Mus musculus: one gene and its partner. The protein of the gene in region 1 interacts with the protein of each later gene in a pairwise test. Links are inferred from orthologs where the notes say so. Each region holds a gene or a part of one and is shown on either strand. Other genes may lie near its edges. The genes, in order: Ddx58 and Mavs.

The links.
Region 2: the proteins of Ddx58 (region 1) and Mavs interact in binary tests that used the Homo sapiens proteins (3 or more experiments, as listed by UniProt). The link is inferred for Mus musculus from reciprocal best matches to the Homo sapiens genes RIGI and MAVS.

What each region holds. Positions count from the first base shown.
Region 1 is NC_000070.6:40,233,149-40,236,960, forward strand, and holds part of Ddx58 (antiviral innate immune response receptor RIG-I), read right to left. Parts: intron 2,235-3,812; coding exon 2,100-2,234; intron 1-2,099.
Region 2 is NC_000068.7:131,232,549-131,236,929, reverse strand, and holds the start of Mavs (mitochondrial antiviral-signaling protein), read right to left. Parts: upstream 2,868-4,381; 5' UTR 2,803-2,867; exon of another isoform or gene 2,575-2,802; intron 1-2,574.

The DNA of each region.
Region 1 (3,812 bases):
GATGGGGCTACATAAGAGATGAGGAAAATAAGCAGAAGTTGAGTTTCCTTTTCTCTTGATCCCCTGCTGGGCCATTTGATGTGCTAGGTAAGTGTTGTGGATAGCCCTGGGGCTAATTATATTTGATGGTAATTCCATTCTGCATTGAGTGGCTGCGAACAAGGAATGAGTCAGCACTCCGGTGATTTCCTGTAAACCTGCTTCCCACCTCAATTAGTAAAATAAAGGAGAGCTGGTGATTGGGCTGATAAAGGGAAGTTGGAGAGGAAGGTGGGAAGAGAGAAGGAGAAAGAGGAAGAGGGAGAGGATACCACAGAGGAGGAGGAAGAAAAGTGGAGCAGAAGCACACAGCCTGGAGAAACCGCCTGGTGGCGCACGCCTTAATTCCCAGCACTTGGGAGGCAGAGGCAGGCGGATTTCTGAGTTCGAGGCCAGCCTGGTCTACAAAGTGAGTTCCAGGACAGCCAGGGCTATACAGAGAAACCCTGTCTCAAAAAACCAAAACCACAAAAAAGAAAAAAAGAAAAAAAAAAGGGGGAGTCTCATAGATGGAGAAGATGGTAGTGTAGCGGTAGATCTGCCCAATCTAGGTGCACAGCATGTATTCATATGAATTAAGTCTTGTTTTCATTGCCAGGGCTTATTTGGAATGGAGAGTAACTGCAACAGCTAAGGGCTGGGGAGATGGCTTAGCAAGTAAGGTTCATCGTGTTCTTGCAGGGGACTGGGGTCAGATCCCAGCACCCACGTCAGTCCCTCACAACTGCCATTAACTCCAGCTCCAGGGGAATGTCTGACCTCTAGGCAATGCACTCATAAATGCATGCCCACTCTCAGACACACACACACACACACACACACACACACACACACACACACACACACACACACAATTCTTAAAACGAAATAAAAGGGTAAGATAAGCATGTATCACTGAGATGCAAATAGATAATGTATCAAAATGATGGTCTATAAAGCAGGAAATAGAAAGAATAAGTCAATTGTTAATCCTGGAAATAGCAGGAAACCAAGTTTTATAACAAATGACATTTAAACCCTTTTACCGAATTAAAAAGAAAAGGAAAAAAAAGCATTAGTTTTTATACAACTGCTGCCAACATGCTGCCAATGTGTGGCTTCCTAGGGACCGCAGCACCCGAGGAAGGCAGCGTGTTTGCTTTAACAGTACCATGTTAATTCAACACACCTGTGTTAGGATGTGATGGATACAGTTCTTGCTGAGGCCAGCCATGACTGGTGGAGCTCACAGGGATCTGCCTGCCTCTGCCTCCCCAGAGCTGGGATTAAAGGTGTGCTTCCCCACCCCCCACCCCATCCCCCAGCCGACTGACAAACACTCCAATACAATGAAAGCAACAGGAGCCCTTGGCTTTCTTTGGTGTTTCTTTCTTACTACACTGGGCCGGGCCTGCTTTTTCCCATTTCCCATCCCCCGCCCCCCCCCCCCCATTGTTGGTAACACTAAAGTATTCTCCTTCTTTCACCAGTGAATAAGCTAGAGTGGCAGAGGGGCAAGAAATGTAATTGCCTAAGTGTTAGAGTCCAGGAATTGCCTCACAAACCACAGGACACCGATCTCAGTCAGACAGGGAGAGTTTATTAAGCTTACTCCCCAGGACTGGTCAGCCAGGGTCGCCCAAGATCCAGTTTCCTTCCCTATATGTTTAGTTTGACTCATGTGGAACTTTATAGCTATTATAGTTTATGATATTCAAATTTAAATGCTGCGTGCCTACAGTTCAGCTGGGTTGTCATTTACAGACATGTCCACACGCTTCATTGCAGTATAATGGAGCACTGTAAACATTATAAAACCGATTTATTTACTCGTTCTCCTCTTGAAAGATACCGGCATGCTACTAATATTGTCACCTCTCCTAGTAGTTACAACTCTGTAGATTGCTTTGGATATTTCTGGTATAAACCATTCTCTTATCTGATTCAAAATAGTCTTTACATTTCCCGCCTGAGGCAGAAGCCACACACAGATGTCACAGAACGAGTCACTTTTCTCCCCTCAGCCTTCTGAGGCAGCAGAGTGAAGTACTCTGAACTGTGAGGAAGAAGAAGGAACCAACCTGCATGGTACAGGGCATCCAAAAAGGCCTGGAACCAGCCCTCTGACTGCAGCTTCAACAGGTACTGGAGGAAGAGTGAGGCAGCTTCCATTGGGCCCTTGTTGTTCTTCTCAGCCTGAATGTACTGCACCTCCTCTGCAAACAGAAGCAAGGGCAAGTGAGTAGCCTGCAGAAGCACTAGTCACTGGAAGATAACAGACCAGACCTTCCCATGTGGGTCTGGGAGTCATAACAACTCATGGAACCAGAAGACCTTTGAGAGGCAGCAGACTCCACTCATCCATCCTCGCACACTCCCGTCCTCCACTCCTTCATGTATGCACACTCTCGTCCTCCACTCCTTCATCTATGCACACTCCCGTCCTCCACTCCTTCATCTATGCACTCTCCCGTCCTCCTCTCCTTCATCTATGCACACTCCCGTCCTCCTCTCCTTCATCTATGCACACTCCCGTCCTCCACTCCTTCATGTATGCACACTCCCGTCCTCCACTCCTTCATGTATGCACACTCCCGTCCTCCACTCCTTCATCTATGCACTCTCCCGTCCTCCTCTCCTTCATCTATGCACACTCCCGTCCTCCTCTCCTTCATCTATGCACACTCCCGTCCTCCACTCCTTCATGTATGCACACTCCCGTCCTCCACTCCTTCATATGCACACTCCCGTCCTCCACTCCTTCATGTATGCACACTCCCGTCCTCCACTCCTTCATGTATGCACACTCCCGTCCTCCACTCCTTCATCTATGCACACTCCCGTCCTCCTTTCCTTCATGTATGCACACTCCCGTCCTCCTCTCCTTCATCTATGCACACTCCCGTCCTCCTCTCCTTCATCTATGCACACTCCCGTCCTCCTCTCCTTCATCTATGCACACTCCCGTCCTCCTCTCCTTCATGTATGCACACTCCCGTCCTCCACTCCTTCATGTATGCACACTCCCGTCCTCCACTCCTTCATGTATGCACACTCCCGTCCTCCACTCCTTCATGTATGCACACTCCCGTCCTCCACTCCTTCATGTATGCACACTCCCGTCCTCCACTCCTTCATCTATGCACACTCCCGTCCTCCTCTCCTTCATCTATGCACACTCCCGTCCTCCTCTCCTTCATCTATGCACACTCCCGTCCTCCTCTCCTTCATCTATGCACACTCCCGTCCTCCTCTCCTTCATCTATGCACACTCCCGTCCTCCTCTCCTTCATGTATGCACACTCCCGTCCTCCACTCCTTCATGTATGCACACTCCCGTCCTCCACTCCTTCATGTATGCACACTCCCATCCTCCACTCCTTCATGTATGCACACTCCCGTCCTCCACTCCTTCATGTATGCACACTCCCGTCCTCCACTCCTTCATGTATGCACACTCCCGTCCTCCACTCCTTCATGTATGCACACTCCCGTCCTCCACTCCTTCATCTATGCACACTCCCGTCCTCCACTCTTTCATCTATGCACACTCCCGTCCTCCACTCAAGTTCCCCACAGTAAGCAGAAGTCGCAGTGGAGGGTGTCACATGGAAGAAGAAAGGCTTCCTCCTCTTCTTCAAAACTCTGAAGCAACTGCTGGACTAAGGGGTTGGGGGTGGGTGGGAATGAACGCCCTATGGCAACAGTAACGAGTATAGCTGATGCAGCAAGCATTTTGAATTACAAATACATTTGTGGTCTTTCATTCCAATTTTTGCTAAGAGAGTAAAAGA
Region 2 (4,381 bases), on another chromosome or scaffold:
CCACCACCACCCGGCCCCAAGATTTATTATTTATATTTTATGTACTTGAGTGTTTTGCCTGCATGGATGTCTGTGTACCATGTTCCTACAGAGGCCAGCAGAGAGCACCCACAGATGGTCGTGAGCTGCCACGTGGGTACTGGAACTCAAACTCTGGTCCTCTGGGAAAGCAGGCAGTGCTCTCACCCACTAAGCCTTTTTTCCAGAACATCTAAGCTTACATTTTAAAAAATACACCACTTTTATCTGTTCACTCATTTATTATTGCATGTATACGATAGGTGTGTAATGTGTGCACACATGTCACAGCATACACATGAAAATTGGAGGACGATTTTTTTGTGATTTGGCTCTCTCCTTCCACCTTGGCTTCCAGGGATTGAACTCGGGTTGTCAGGAGTGCACAGCGTGCAGTTTTACCTACTGAGCCATCCCACCATTTAGACATTGGCAGTGCCTTAAATGCAAGCATTGCTTACGAAGCACCACCATCTGTAATCACGTGTTTTGATTACTTGTCTCTTAGCTGTCCTCCACCTTGGGGAGAAGAGAGACAAGATATGCCACATCCAATTTAAGTACCATTGGAGTGGAACAGGCACCAGATCCATTAGCACATACCCAAATGACAAGCCCAGGAAGTAAGTCTGATTATTTAGAAAGTAAAAGGAGACAGTGGGACAGAACTCCAGGAGGAAATCCCTGCTTAAACAGAGGTGATCCAGGAAAGCCGCGATTGGTAACATCTCACTGAATGATTTTCCATTGTGAAAAGACTGGAGTCTGGGGCAGAAGGCAAAGCAGATGCCAAAGTTCTAAGATGGGATGGAATCTGGAGTGAAGAGAATCTAGGTGAGTGACGTTTAAAGCTGAGGGGAAGGACAGAGGTCAAGGTCAAAGAGGCCACCAGCACGTAAGGTGTTGTGGGAAGGACTTTGGGTTTTACTTGATGTGATATGGGGAACCACTGGAGAGCCTGGGCTCTGATTTGCACTGCAGAACTCTCTGGAGGTTCTAAGGTCTTTGAGAAGCCCAGGATGGAAGGAGGGTGACAAGTCAGGGCCCTGTGAGAGGATGATGAAGGGTGTGGCCCGGGTGGCAACAGAGGGGATGAGCAGCTATATTCCTGGTGCTTTGTAGACAAGGGAGGTAGGGTGGCAATCAAACATGGCTTCTTGGGAAGTGGGGCAAGGAAGGTGCCATTTACTCAACTCTAGGGAAGGCAGTAAGAAGCCATGGAAAGATGGCCCTTCAGAGCTCCGTTTTGACAAGTTTAACAAGCTGTTGGTTTCCAAGAGTATTGTTCAGGAGAGAAGAAGGAAGGGATAGAAGAGGGAACCAAGTGCCCATCATGGAGTCTGAGGCCTCTGAGAGACAGTGCAGGGAGTACCCACGGCTGTTGCAGGTGCAGGCCCCTGCCACGTGGGAGGCGGGGTGCCAGTTCTGCCTAGTGACCTCTGCCACTGCTAACTACCAAATGCTACATTCCTACAAAGAGCTAAGGATGGAAGGCTGGGAGATCAAGGAGATAAGATTGAGGTCTGTTGAGCCTTCAGGGGATGAAAAATGAGGCCTCTGTAGAGGCCAGCCTGATGAAACCCTTCCTCCCCCTTTCCCAGGTCACCTAGAAAGATGTGACGATGAGGGAGTCAAATTATTGGTTTTCTGCAGTCCAACCACAACTCTGAATGCAGCCTGGGGGCGGGGAGTGGCATGGAGCCCCACCAAAAGCAGAGGAAGCTCACAGTTATTCATTTCTCGAAGGTTCTCTGTTAACAGAGGCAGCCTGAGGTCCTTTTACTTATGTCCTTTAACACAATCACAAGAGAGGAAGTGATACCAAGCTACACGGCTGACCTGCAGTGTGGAATTTGTACCCAGACTTGTTGCCATGACCTAACAGCATAGAGGTCCCTGCAGCAGGAAAACCACAAAGCCCCTCTTTACACCAAGGTCACTGCCTGGGGATGTGACTATAGGGTGAGAAGATGCAGCATTTAGGCTCTTTGAAGACATAAAAGTCTCTCAGACACAACTGGCATCAATGCTGCCCTTACTGACATTCACCTGAGTTCTGAGATCGAGGCTGAATGCCCTTCAAGTTTTTGAAGCTTCCCGGTATCCAAAGAACATTGTTTTCTGCTTTCTTTTGATTTCATCCTTTTCCTCAAACTTCTTTCTTATATCAGACCCTTTCTTATAACAGAAAGGGAGGTGGCAAGAGTGTCCTGGACACAGCAAAGCTTCCGACCTGACTTCCACAGAGCTTCTGTCCGGGTCGTGGAAATAAATATCCACACTCCCGAGGGACAAGTCTCCTGGCCTCGGACTAGATTCCTGTCGGGACTCAGGTCTCCAAGTGCAGGGAGGCTGTTTTGAACAGATGTTATTGCCTGCAACTGCCCAGATCCAGGATCAGGCCGTAGCCCGGACTGGCAGGCCTACTCCCTGGCGCGGCTGCCACAGGTCGTTGCTCGTAGCCAGGCCTCGCTCGAGTCACCAGGGCCTGGGAGAAGCAGGGGGCACTCCGAGGTTCTTTCTGTCCAGCCTGGGCAAACTCTCGGCACCACCTACCTGCTTGCTAAAGGTGCTGGATGCGGATCAAGGAACTGCCGGGGTCGCGAATCCGTGTGTGGCCGACCTCATTCTCCCCTAGTTCAGGAGCCTCTCCGACCCCACGCGCCCAGGCCCAGGGCGCCCATGCGGACTCCCAGGCGTAACTGGCCCTAGCCAAGGTTCCCTCCCTGAAGGATCTCAGTGAACACAGAGTCCTGAGCACCGACGCCCAGGCTGCAAACTTACCAAGAGAAACCAGACTAGGCAACAGGTTGACCGCGTTCGACTGTGCAGAGCCCTCGCAGATGAAGGGGGCGGGACGAAGCCAGCCACGCAGCTATTGGTCAGGCGTGGGGAGGAGGGGCGGGATCGGAAGCGCAGTCATTGGCCTGGCAGAGCCAGACTGTGATAGAGTTGGAAGTACGGCTGTTGGCTGGGCTGGGGATGCCTGGGCGGAGCTGAGCTAGGCCGGTCGCAGGGCCAGTGGATGAGTCCTGATGTTCCGGAGCGGCTGGTCTAGCGGCTGGTGCCCCGCAGGCCTTGCTTGAGGTCTCTTCTGATTTCCTGCAGGTGCATTAGGGAGATTGTTTCTTCCTGCTTAGTCTAGAACACTTTTCAGGGGAAGTCCAGATACCCAGAAAACTGCAGTTCTTAGATTCCGTTCCATTCCTCAGGCAAAGCAGATCTTCTAGCCAAGTACTGGAGGAGAGAGGGTCTTCATGTGATCTGCTCCTATGTCTCCAGTGCTCCATAAACGTAGTGTCGCACAAAATGTCATAGGGACATGAGTGCCTAGCCAGATGACACCAGCTGGGCTGGTAGGAACAGGATGCAGCAAAAGACTGCATCTATCTGGGGATATGCACCAAGCTACAACCGCTTATAGCTCCAACACCAGGGTAACCCGACTCCTCTGACCTCCACTGGCTTACAGAGACAAAGGAACGAAAGCTTTTCGCTTCCAGTCAATTCTTTCAACCAGAAGTAAAAAACGAACATAGTTAAAAAGAAATCAGTTACCTCAGCACGGCTAGATGGTAGAAATGTCTTATAACTCGATGTAGGTGGAGAGTACGCAGCTGGAGCACATGTAAAAATATATCAACTGGGGCTGGTGAGATGGCTCAGCAGGTAAGGGCACTTTTTGCCAAGCCAGAGATCTGAGTCTGACCACTGTAATCTGCATAATGGAAAGAGAACTAACTCCAAAAAGCATTGGCATTTATCACCCCTCCCATCATAAATATAAAACAGGAAAAAAGCTGAAAAATGCATCAATGACATACTTAATGCTATAATCTCCTATCTAATACAGTTTTAAAGACAAGCCTAAGGGAGCACTGAGGTTAGAGCTGCCACCATGCTGGAACTCTTTGAATGAAATTAGATTTTATTACTGTTTGTTTTAGTTAGGGTTCCCGTTGCTATGAAGAGACATCATGAGCATGGCAACTCTTAGAAAATTTAATTGGCATTTGCTTACAGTACAGAGGTTTAGTTCAATGTGGTCATGGCAGGAAGCAAGGTGAAGTAGGCACCATAGCAGGCAGACATGGTGCTGTAGAGGGGCGGAGAGTTCTGCCTCTGCATCCTCAGGCAGCAAGAAGGAAGAGCAAGTCACTGAGCCTAGGTGGAGCTTCTGAATTTCTTCAACAAGGCCACACCCACTCCAATAAAGCCTCATCTCCTAATAATGCCACTCCCTATGAGCCAATAGGGGCCTTTTTCATTCAAACCACACTGTTCTTGGTAGCTGTTCACAACCTTCAGCATATGCAAATCACACATAAGATTCATTGCCTGGGACAGACATGGTAGAAGAACT